2 linked regions of the Nothobranchius furzeri genome follow. The protein of the gene in region 2 purifies or fractionates together with the protein of the main gene of each other region. This does not show direct contact. Links are inferred from orthologs where the notes say so. Each region holds a gene or a part of one and is shown on either strand. Other genes may lie near its edges. The genes, in order: zfyve19 and vps4a.

Evidence for each region.
Region 1: the proteins of vps4a (region 2) and zfyve19 purify together in Homo sapiens (affinity purification with mass spectrometry; 3 studies listed by BioGRID and IntAct, counting the BioPlex papers as one, with this or other methods). This does not show direct contact. The link is inferred for Nothobranchius furzeri from reciprocal best matches to the Homo sapiens genes VPS4A and ZFYVE19.

The regions. Positions count from the first base shown.
Region 1 is NC_091758.1:34,203,233-34,207,652, forward strand, and holds the start of zfyve19 (abscission/NoCut checkpoint regulator), read right to left. Parts: upstream 2,910-4,420; 5' UTR 2,769-2,909; coding exon 2,715-2,768; intron 2,619-2,714; coding exon 2,497-2,618; intron 2,413-2,496; coding exon 2,356-2,412; intron 2,280-2,355; coding exon 2,113-2,279; intron 2,037-2,112; coding exon 1,870-2,036; intron 919-1,869; coding exon 810-918; intron 710-809; coding exon 497-709; intron 379-496; coding exon 302-378; intron 147-301; coding exon 45-146; intron 1-44. Other genes in the region: bub1bb (mitotic checkpoint serine/threonine-protein kinase BUB1 beta), read left to right, coding at 3,712-3,854, 3,955-4,014, 4,103-4,247, 4,329-4,420. UniProt on the Homo sapiens protein: Key regulator of abscission step in cytokinesis: part of the cytokinesis checkpoint, a process required to delay abscission to prevent both premature resolution of intercellular chromosome bridges and accumulation of DNA damage.
Region 2 is NC_091744.1:86,346,781-86,351,054, reverse strand, and holds the start of vps4a (vacuolar protein sorting-associated protein 4A), read right to left. Parts: upstream 2,910-4,274; 5' UTR 2,721-2,909; coding exon 2,700-2,720; intron 2,269-2,699; coding exon 2,157-2,268; intron 2,078-2,156; coding exon 1,933-2,077; intron 1,842-1,932; coding exon 1,780-1,841; intron 1,380-1,779; coding exon 1,260-1,379; intron 1,063-1,259; coding exon 906-1,062; intron 795-905; coding exon 646-794; intron 340-645; coding exon 258-339; intron 171-257; coding exon 1-170. UniProt on the Homo sapiens protein: Involved in late steps of the endosomal multivesicular bodies (MVB) pathway. Recognizes membrane-associated ESCRT-III assemblies and catalyzes their disassembly, possibly in combination with membrane fission.

The sequences.
Region 1 (4,420 bases), on a different chromosome or scaffold from region 2:
TTTTATGGTTTGAAACTGTTGTGAATTTGTCTGCTGCTCTGTACTAGTTTCTTAGAGGTCTTTTTCTTCTCCGTGTTCCTCGGGCCGCTCTGTTCTACGGGTATGTTGTACCCACTAGCTTCGTCGAGTGCAGCTTCTTCTGAGAGCTGGAGCCAACCAAGAACAGGAAGTTCAGAGCATGCCAGTTGTCATTACCAGTTATTAAACGGCCTAACAGCAGCCTCTTGTGGCAGCCATTAAAAGGTCTAAAACAGTAAACCACAACATGTGGGTGTAGTGATAAATGTGTCGTCTCCCTGACCTGTTTTAGCACTCTCCTCACAGCTTCTTCCTCAGTCTCCTCTTCACTGTCAGGTTGTTGGAAATCCTCTGCAGTGACTAAGTGTGCAACACCAAAATGTCAGCTAATGAAAATGTGAATATCAACAGTTCTGTCATAGCTGCAGCGATGATCTCGTGACTGAGAGAAGGTGGGTGTGGAAACAGCTCTGAGCACCTTTATTTGGATCCTGGCCCTTTAACTGGGCCAGCCTCTTGGCCATGTCGAGGATTTGATCCTGGGTATGTCGCTCGTTCCTCAGCTCATTCATGGCCTCCTCCAGTAGACGCTCTTTCTCTGCCTCCAGCTGTTTGACTGCTCCCTGGTTGTCCTCCATGTTCTCATCCAACGTAGCCCCCTCCCCCTTGTTCAGATCATTCATATCTATGCCTGCAAGACAGTGTTTGCTGTACTTAGACGGGGATTTCTGCCTTTTAAAGCTTGTTGAAACAGGTTTTTTGGTAACACATTAACCCTTGTGATCACTAACTGAGTTCAGGATTTGATTGTTGGTTGTCAATGGCAACTTCCTCCGTCAGCTGGGTTAACAAGTCACTGGCTTTTTCAGTCTGAGTCCGGGTATCAGGAGGTTGGTGCACCTGCACACACACACACACACACACACACACACACACACACACACACACACACACACACACACACACACACACACACACACACACACACACACACACACACACACACACACACACGAACATGTAAGTTAATTAAAAACCATTACATTGAATTATTCAACACTTTAAAATACGACCAGTGTTCGGCAAATTACTTTGAAAAAGTAATTACTATAGTTACTACAAAAAGTAACTGAGTCAGTAATGGAATGACAATGCAATAAAAGTTTCTAATTACCAGGAAAATAAGTATTTCGTTACTTTTTCTAAATAAATTATGCAAGAAAATTAGCAGCACATGTAAGATTGTTTCCATCCCTTTAGCTCCTGGTCACATGATGTCAGCTTCAACACACCTTGCTGCTGAATTATAGTAGCGTGCTACATTTTCTTGTCAGTATTGGAAACAACGTAATTAATTTGATCATACGTTACTAAAGAACTCTGTTAGCAACACATTTAATTCAATGCCATTTTTCCAACCACTGAATATGGCTGAGCTGCATAAGGAGTACAATTTTTTTTATATTTTCCCACCTTTAATTTAACAGGTAAAATGTTTGAGAGTAAATTTTCATTTACAAACAACAACAACAATTATAGAAAACTGGGGCAGCAGTAGCTCAACAGGATGAGCGGGTTGTCCAGTAATCGGAAGGTTGCAGGTTCGATCCCCGCTCTGGACTGAGAATTCTGCTGTTGTGTCCTTGGGCAGGACACTAAACCCACCTTGCCTGCTGGTGGTGGTCGGAGGGTGTGGTGTGGCTACATCAGTAAAGATGTGAATGTTTGTGTGAATGGATGAATCATACACTGTAGTGTAAAGCGCTTTGGAGTCCTTACTCAGAGTGGCCCTATATACAAGTGTGGGCCATTTATCATTATCATGATAGAAGAAATTAGAGGAAAACTCACAGGAGCAGGAGCTTGAGATGGTGGAGGATGACTTCGCAGAGCAGCCAGACGATTCTCCATCTCCTCTGTAGAAGGAACAGGTTGGATGGGGACTCTCAGAGCAGCAAGGCGTGACTCGATTTCCTTCTCTGAAGGAATGGACCCTGAAGAAATGATTAAAAAGCAATCTATTGCTTTGCATTAAAAGATCCTGTTTAGCATTTTTCAGATTTATTTTAAATGCTTGATGATTAAATTCATTACTAGGTTTAGTGTCCTCTTTCAGCTTTTGAAGTCTCTCAGCAATAGCTTGGTCTTCTTTACTCAGGCCTTTTGCTGGTAGATGGCCTACTTTGCTGTTTCTGCTTCCCCCGTGTACGGCAGGTTGAGTCGACTGTCCTTGCTGTTTTGCCTCCAGCGCAGCAACTCGTCTGTGGAAAAAACAGAACTTTAGATAGTATGAAACTTCTGTAACGGCCTCTTTGTCAAACGTGGTCAAACACTAACTTTTTGTAATTTTCTGGAGGAGACCATCTTCCAGCATTGTGTGAAGAAGTCTCCCCTCTAAAAATAAAAAGGATAAAATAGGTTTTAGATAATTAAAGGAAAATAATTAATTTGGGGTTTATTGTGTCGGGTGAGGTTTACCTTGTCAAATTACCATGGCACTGCTTGCAGACCTTCTGCTGGGTGTTACCACAGCGAGGCACCACAGCATTAAAAGTCAAACAGCTGGAGCAGAAGGCTCGTCCACAGCTCTTACAGCCCAGCTATCATAGAAGTCAGCACAATCCAGATATTAACCACGTGTCCACAAACACACGAACGCGTACATATTTATTGCTGATTTATTAGTAAATCCATACCTCTTTCTTGAAGAGACTAAACTTTGATGCACAACAATAACAGCGACTGTCCATGCTGTCACGTGTAGCGTCATGAAACCGTAAGATTACAATTTACGTAATTCCAACAGGTGAAGAAAAGCGCTAAAGCAATAATAATTTCTGAATTAGCTATCTGTTTTCAGCTTGTCAACGATGCATTATCAAAACAGGAACTAAACCGGAAATGATGTATGAAGTAGTTGGCATTTTTCCTGTTATGTATTTCCTCCAATCAGCTATCTCCAAATCCTCTCGCGGGATTTGTTTAAAAGACAGGTCTCCATTTCAACGTTGTCCCTGTTTCATCGTTAGCTGCAAGTAATCGGCGAAGGAGACAAAGAAACTCTAAAAGTGGTATGAAAACACACAGTTAGTCGATTAATGTTAACGCTATACTAGTTTTAACTGGAAAATCTTTATGTATTGGGATAATTGACACGGCTAAGCAACAAATAACTAGCTAACGTGTTAGCTTATTGTGTTTTTGTAGCTAACTTTTTAGCATCGTGAAAGTTTCTGTTATCTAATTCAGGATTTGCTTATTTCATCCATATTATTTTACTTTTTACTTCTTTGTGTTTGCATTTTTGAAAACAATAAAATATTTAAAATTGGTTTTATGTATTGCTTTGGAATTAAGAGTCATAATTGTAAACATTAAAAAGAAAGATTGTAAAATGCATTGAAAGAAGAGTGCTTGCTTTTGGGCTTTGAGCAGAAATGAACTGCATTGGTTTTATTGTAGAGTATTTGCTCACGTGCAACGTAATTTACTAGGTTTACAAATATGTTCAAGCTTTTGTGCAAATTTACTCTAGAGTATCAGCAACAGTCTGCACCAGATACTTCATTCTTACAAGTTTGTGTGTGTGTGTGTGTTTTTCCCTCAGATGTTGGTGCATAAACTAAGTATAATTAGTACTGAATTATTGAATGATGTGTTTTCTCCTGCAGTTCACCGGTCTTTATTTCCACAATGGCAGAAGGAGAAGATGTGGATTGGGAGCTTAGCAAAGAAAACATCCAGCCGCTGAGGCGGGGCAGAGCAATATCAGCTTTACATCAGGCCCTCAGTCAGCAGCAAGATGGACCCACATCTGCAATCAACCAACAGAGACAGTAAGATAATCCATTAAACTTTAGTATTTCTAAAATAATTGGAACATCTTTTGTATGTAGTTTAAAATATAATGCACTTTTTGCTCTTTTGCTTCTTTAGGGCCTTTGAGTCTGAGCTTCGAATGTACGATGGAGACGATCCACTTCATGTTTGGGATTGGTGAGTTAAATATTTAAAAATATTGTCTTAAAGTTAAGGATCTTTAACTATCCCACTCATCTGGACAATTTCGGTTCTGATTTTACAGTTATGTCAAGTGGACAGAGCAAACCTTCCTTCAGGGTGGAAGAGAAAGCAACCTCGCCACATTGTTGGAGCGGGCTGTGACCAGATTCACAGAAGAATCAATGTATCACAACGACCCTCGCTATGTTGATCTGTGGATCAAATTTGTACGTTCTAGTTTTCTTATTCTGCTGTTCTGTTAGACTAAGGCAGAAGTAACAACTTTAGGTGTTTGTGTGCGCTACCAGGCCGAGAACTGCCCCGAGCCTCTGGAAGTTTACAGGTACATGCAAGCTAAAGGAATCGGATTGACACAGGCGTCCTTCTACATCGCCTGGTC
Region 2 (4,274 bases):
CGTCCCGGACGATGATGCTGATGTCGGCGCCCGAGTAGCCGTCTGTTTTGTGAGCGAGCTCCCGCAGGTCAGAGTCACTCAGGCTGTGTGGCGTGTTTCCCAAATGAAGTCGAAACATCTGAGCCCGGGCCGGCTCCTCCGGCAGAGGGATGTAAATCCTCTTCTCAAATCTGACACAAAACCAACCAGCTGGAACTAAATAATCCAGTAACATGAGCCAAGGAGGAAAGAACGGCGGGAATGAAGTGACCTCTGACCTTCTACGAATGGCAGCGTCAAGCACCCAGGGGATGTTAGTGGCTCCCAGCACTAAAACACCATCGTTGTTGTTACCCACACCTTACAAAAAACAGAAAGAGGAATCTTTAATGAACGATACGTTTATTTCAGCTCGTAGAGGAGAAAACTTTGTTCAAATATGTTAGATTTAATGGTTATGAGAATAATATCCATCCATAATAATACTGCCAAATTATCTGTTGTACATTTTATTCATTATAACAAAGGAAAATAATTCTCTGTTTGGCTTTTAAAAATGATCTAAAACGCAATCAAATGAAATTACTGTGTAAAAAGTGTTAAAACTACATAATTTTCTCGTGTTTATGATGAAATACATTCATGCACAGCTCCTTTTTGACTCGCCTTGCATCTGGACCAGAAACTCTGTCTTGATGCGGCGGGCAGCTTCGCTCTCGTTCTCATTCCTGGAGCCACACAGCGAGTCCACCTCGTCAATGAAGATGATCGAGGGCTTGTGTTGGCGAGCCAGGTCAAACAGATTCTTCACCAATCTGCGAGAGACCAAGAATATAGTTTAAACGTCGGAGCAACTTCAGCCTCTTTAGTACGCCAAAGTTGTTACGCGTGACAGAAAGCATCATCCAACATCGTTGCTAACTGACTTCTCACTTTCTCCCAGCCACTTGGACATGAGGTCTGAAGAGGAGACGGAGAAGAAGGTGGAGTTGTTGGCCTCTGTGGCCACAGCCTTGGCCAGGTACGACTTCCCTGTTCCAGGAGGACCAAACAGCAGGATTCCTCTCCATGGGGTCCTCTTTCCTGAGAACAAAGTCACGACTGGAATAAGTCAAAATGTTAAAAAAAAAAATGTCCAAAGAGGAGCTTTAGTTTTTAAGAAAGTACTAAATTTGCTTTTATGCCTCCTATTTTGTGTTTGAGGCATTACTTTGTGCATCGGTTGTAAAGAAACCGAAACTTGTAGAGACGATCTAAACCCAGTCTGAATCAAACAGCACCTGTGAAGAGGTGGGGGAATTTAATGGGCAGGATGACCGCTTCCTTCAATGCTTCCTTTGCTCCTTCTAGTCCAGCAACATCGTTCCACCTGACATTAGGTTTCTCCATCACAATAGCACCTACAAACACACAACATGACCAAGATGACATGGCTCATCACAAAACTACTGCACTCTCATATGATTTCTCTATTTTTCATTTAAACTTCCCTTCACACTCAGTCCCTTTTATAAGAGATCCAAGTTACGAGCAGAGGTGACTGGCATTCAGTGCGACGTAACTTCTGTGTTTTGTTGAAGCATTCCACTGCCAGATGAGCATTACATTTTTTCTGTAAAATGTTTTTATTTAAATGTTCTCAGAGGAAGTATCCTTCCTTCTAAGTGCTTTACTGAGAGTGAATTTTGGGTCACATGCAGCAAAACAGATCAGATCCGAGAGGAAGAAACAGAAATGAACAAGAATAGTTTTTTCCTTCAGGCTGCAGACAGCTTTAAAAAAAGATGAAACCACTCCTACCCATAAGTTGCTCCTGCAGTTTCTTCTTCTCTGGGTTTTCACCCTCACTGTCACTGTCACTCCTGGAGCAAACAAACAACACAGAAAATATAAACAAACAAAATCTGACAACAGTTTATTATTCCATGTGTTCTAATTAAAGTGATACCATACTTGTCATTGCTCTGTGCCTCCTTGACAGGTTTCTTCCCCTGTTTGTCTTTATTCTTCAGGTAGTCCTTAAGTTTCTCTGCTCTGTCCAGGTATTGCATGCACTTGGCTCGTATACTTTCCTTTGCCTTGTCGCTGTGGGCCTCATCTGGACAACAAGATCACAGCATCAGCTAACTATGCAACCACGCCTTGGTTACAGTTAGGTGCCGGAGTCCTTCACTTACATTTGATGGCATGTAGGAAATACTCCACAGCATGCTGGTACAGGCGCAGAGCCTCTTCATAATTTTTTGCCTTGTCCTCCTCTGTGGCTTTGGTGACGAGATCAATCGCTTTCTGCAGTAGACACAGAGAAAGGGTGGATATTAGAGGATCCATCGGTGAAGATACAACAACTGAAATAAAAAGCGGCTATGAAAATGCAATTAGAAGACAAACACTAACATCTAGATATTGCAGAATGATTCTTGCGAGATCTAATAAAATAAAACATGCATAATAATGGAAACAAGCTCCTACATTACAAGTAAATAATAGATGCAGGTCTTGCCAATTGCTTATTATATTATAGCTAATTGCTTGTCTAGTCGTTCAAATCACTTTCATGCAGATAGTTTGCAACTGTAGACTACACGTTCATTTACAAGTATCCAGTGTATTGTCTTTTATTTAATACACATTATTAGCTAAAACTCAAAGGTTAGCTTAAGACCGACAAGCTGCTACTGGTTATATCCAGTTACAGACCGCTAACGTTAGCATCCTACCTGTAATGTTGACGTTGTCATTTCATCTCACTCTTCCGTTCGCCACCCAGATTTTTATTTTCTGACCCTACCCAAAGTTGGATTCAAGAAAAAAAAATTTAACGCTTGCAACTCTATTTCTCAAAGGCACTGATTATTCGTGACATGACAATACAGAACAGTGGCTAGCGCGGTAGCAACAGCGCTAATGTTATTTTCAGCAATTTAGCTAACACAGAGACAAACGTCCGGTTACAGATTTCAAAATACTTTAATCAAGGTCCAGGTGTGTAAGCTGCACATGCAATTTTCAACAAAAAAACCACAAAATAAAATTAATACTCAAAATCTTTGCGTAGTTATATTTTTAAATTTACTTTTTACGCTTAAACAAGTTTGTTCCGAAAGCACAGGCTTTTAATTTAAAAATAAAACAAGATAACATCCGGTCAAAGGAAACCAACGTGACGTCTTCCGAATGTTTAACTTAAGTTATTGCCATCTAGCGGTAAAAGTGAGCAACTACACTTGAAACCAAAATAAAAATAGGTTAAATAAGCCTATTTCAGCAAGTTTTTAATTTAGTTCCAACGCACGTTGAAATTTTTGAACAGGGAAAATCCCACGAGGAACGAAATAAGTCACATTCAAAAAGCGGTTTTCACGTTTATACGAAATAAATAAATAAATTGCCCTTTGGTGTTACCTTGCTGTGATACTATTCTGTGCCCGTTTAATTTCAAGCTTTGCAGTATTTTGTTAAAGAAACGTAAGGACTCTAAATAAATGGTATCTTCACCAACAAGCTGTAACAGTAATGCATAAAGCTCTAAAATGGACAAATTTGACATTCAAAACCTAGCTTGTATAATTTTTTTTAAAACATTCATAAAACAAGTATTAATAAATAATGAAAAACTGATGAGAGCTGAGACATTACTAAAGGCAATAAATAAATACCATAATGACTAAATTTACCACATCTATGGATTAGTCTTTTAAAACTCTATCCCTATAATCTAACCAGTAGAACCTCCAAATAAAACCCAATTAAACACAAATAATCGGTTTCCTTTTGGTCTAAATCATAAGAAAGATGACATACTGGAGCTGGTGGAGTCAAACACTGTTTCCATCATGGGAGAAGAAGTGGAGGTGGTTGAGGAATACAAATACCTTGGAGTTCACCTGGACAACAGACTGGACTGGAGAAAGAACAGCGAAGCCGTTTACAAGAAGAGACACAGCAGGCTGCACTTCTTGAGGACGCTTAGGTCCTTCAATGTCTGTAGCAAGATGCTGCAGATCTTCTACAAGTCTGTTGTTGAGAGTGTAATCTCTTCAGCCATCGTCTGTTGGGGTAGCAGCATCAGAAGCAGGGACCTGAAAAGGCTCAACAGCCTAATAAAAAAGGCTGGTTCTGTTCTGGGGACGACTGTGGAACCGCTGGAGGAGATAATGCAAAGAAGGATTCTCCAGAGAATCAAGAAAATGATGGACAACCCTGAGCATTCTCGTCACAAGACTGTCCGACAACGGAAGAGTGTCTTCAGTCAGAGTCTTCTTCAGTTTGGCTGCAACACTGACCGCTACTGG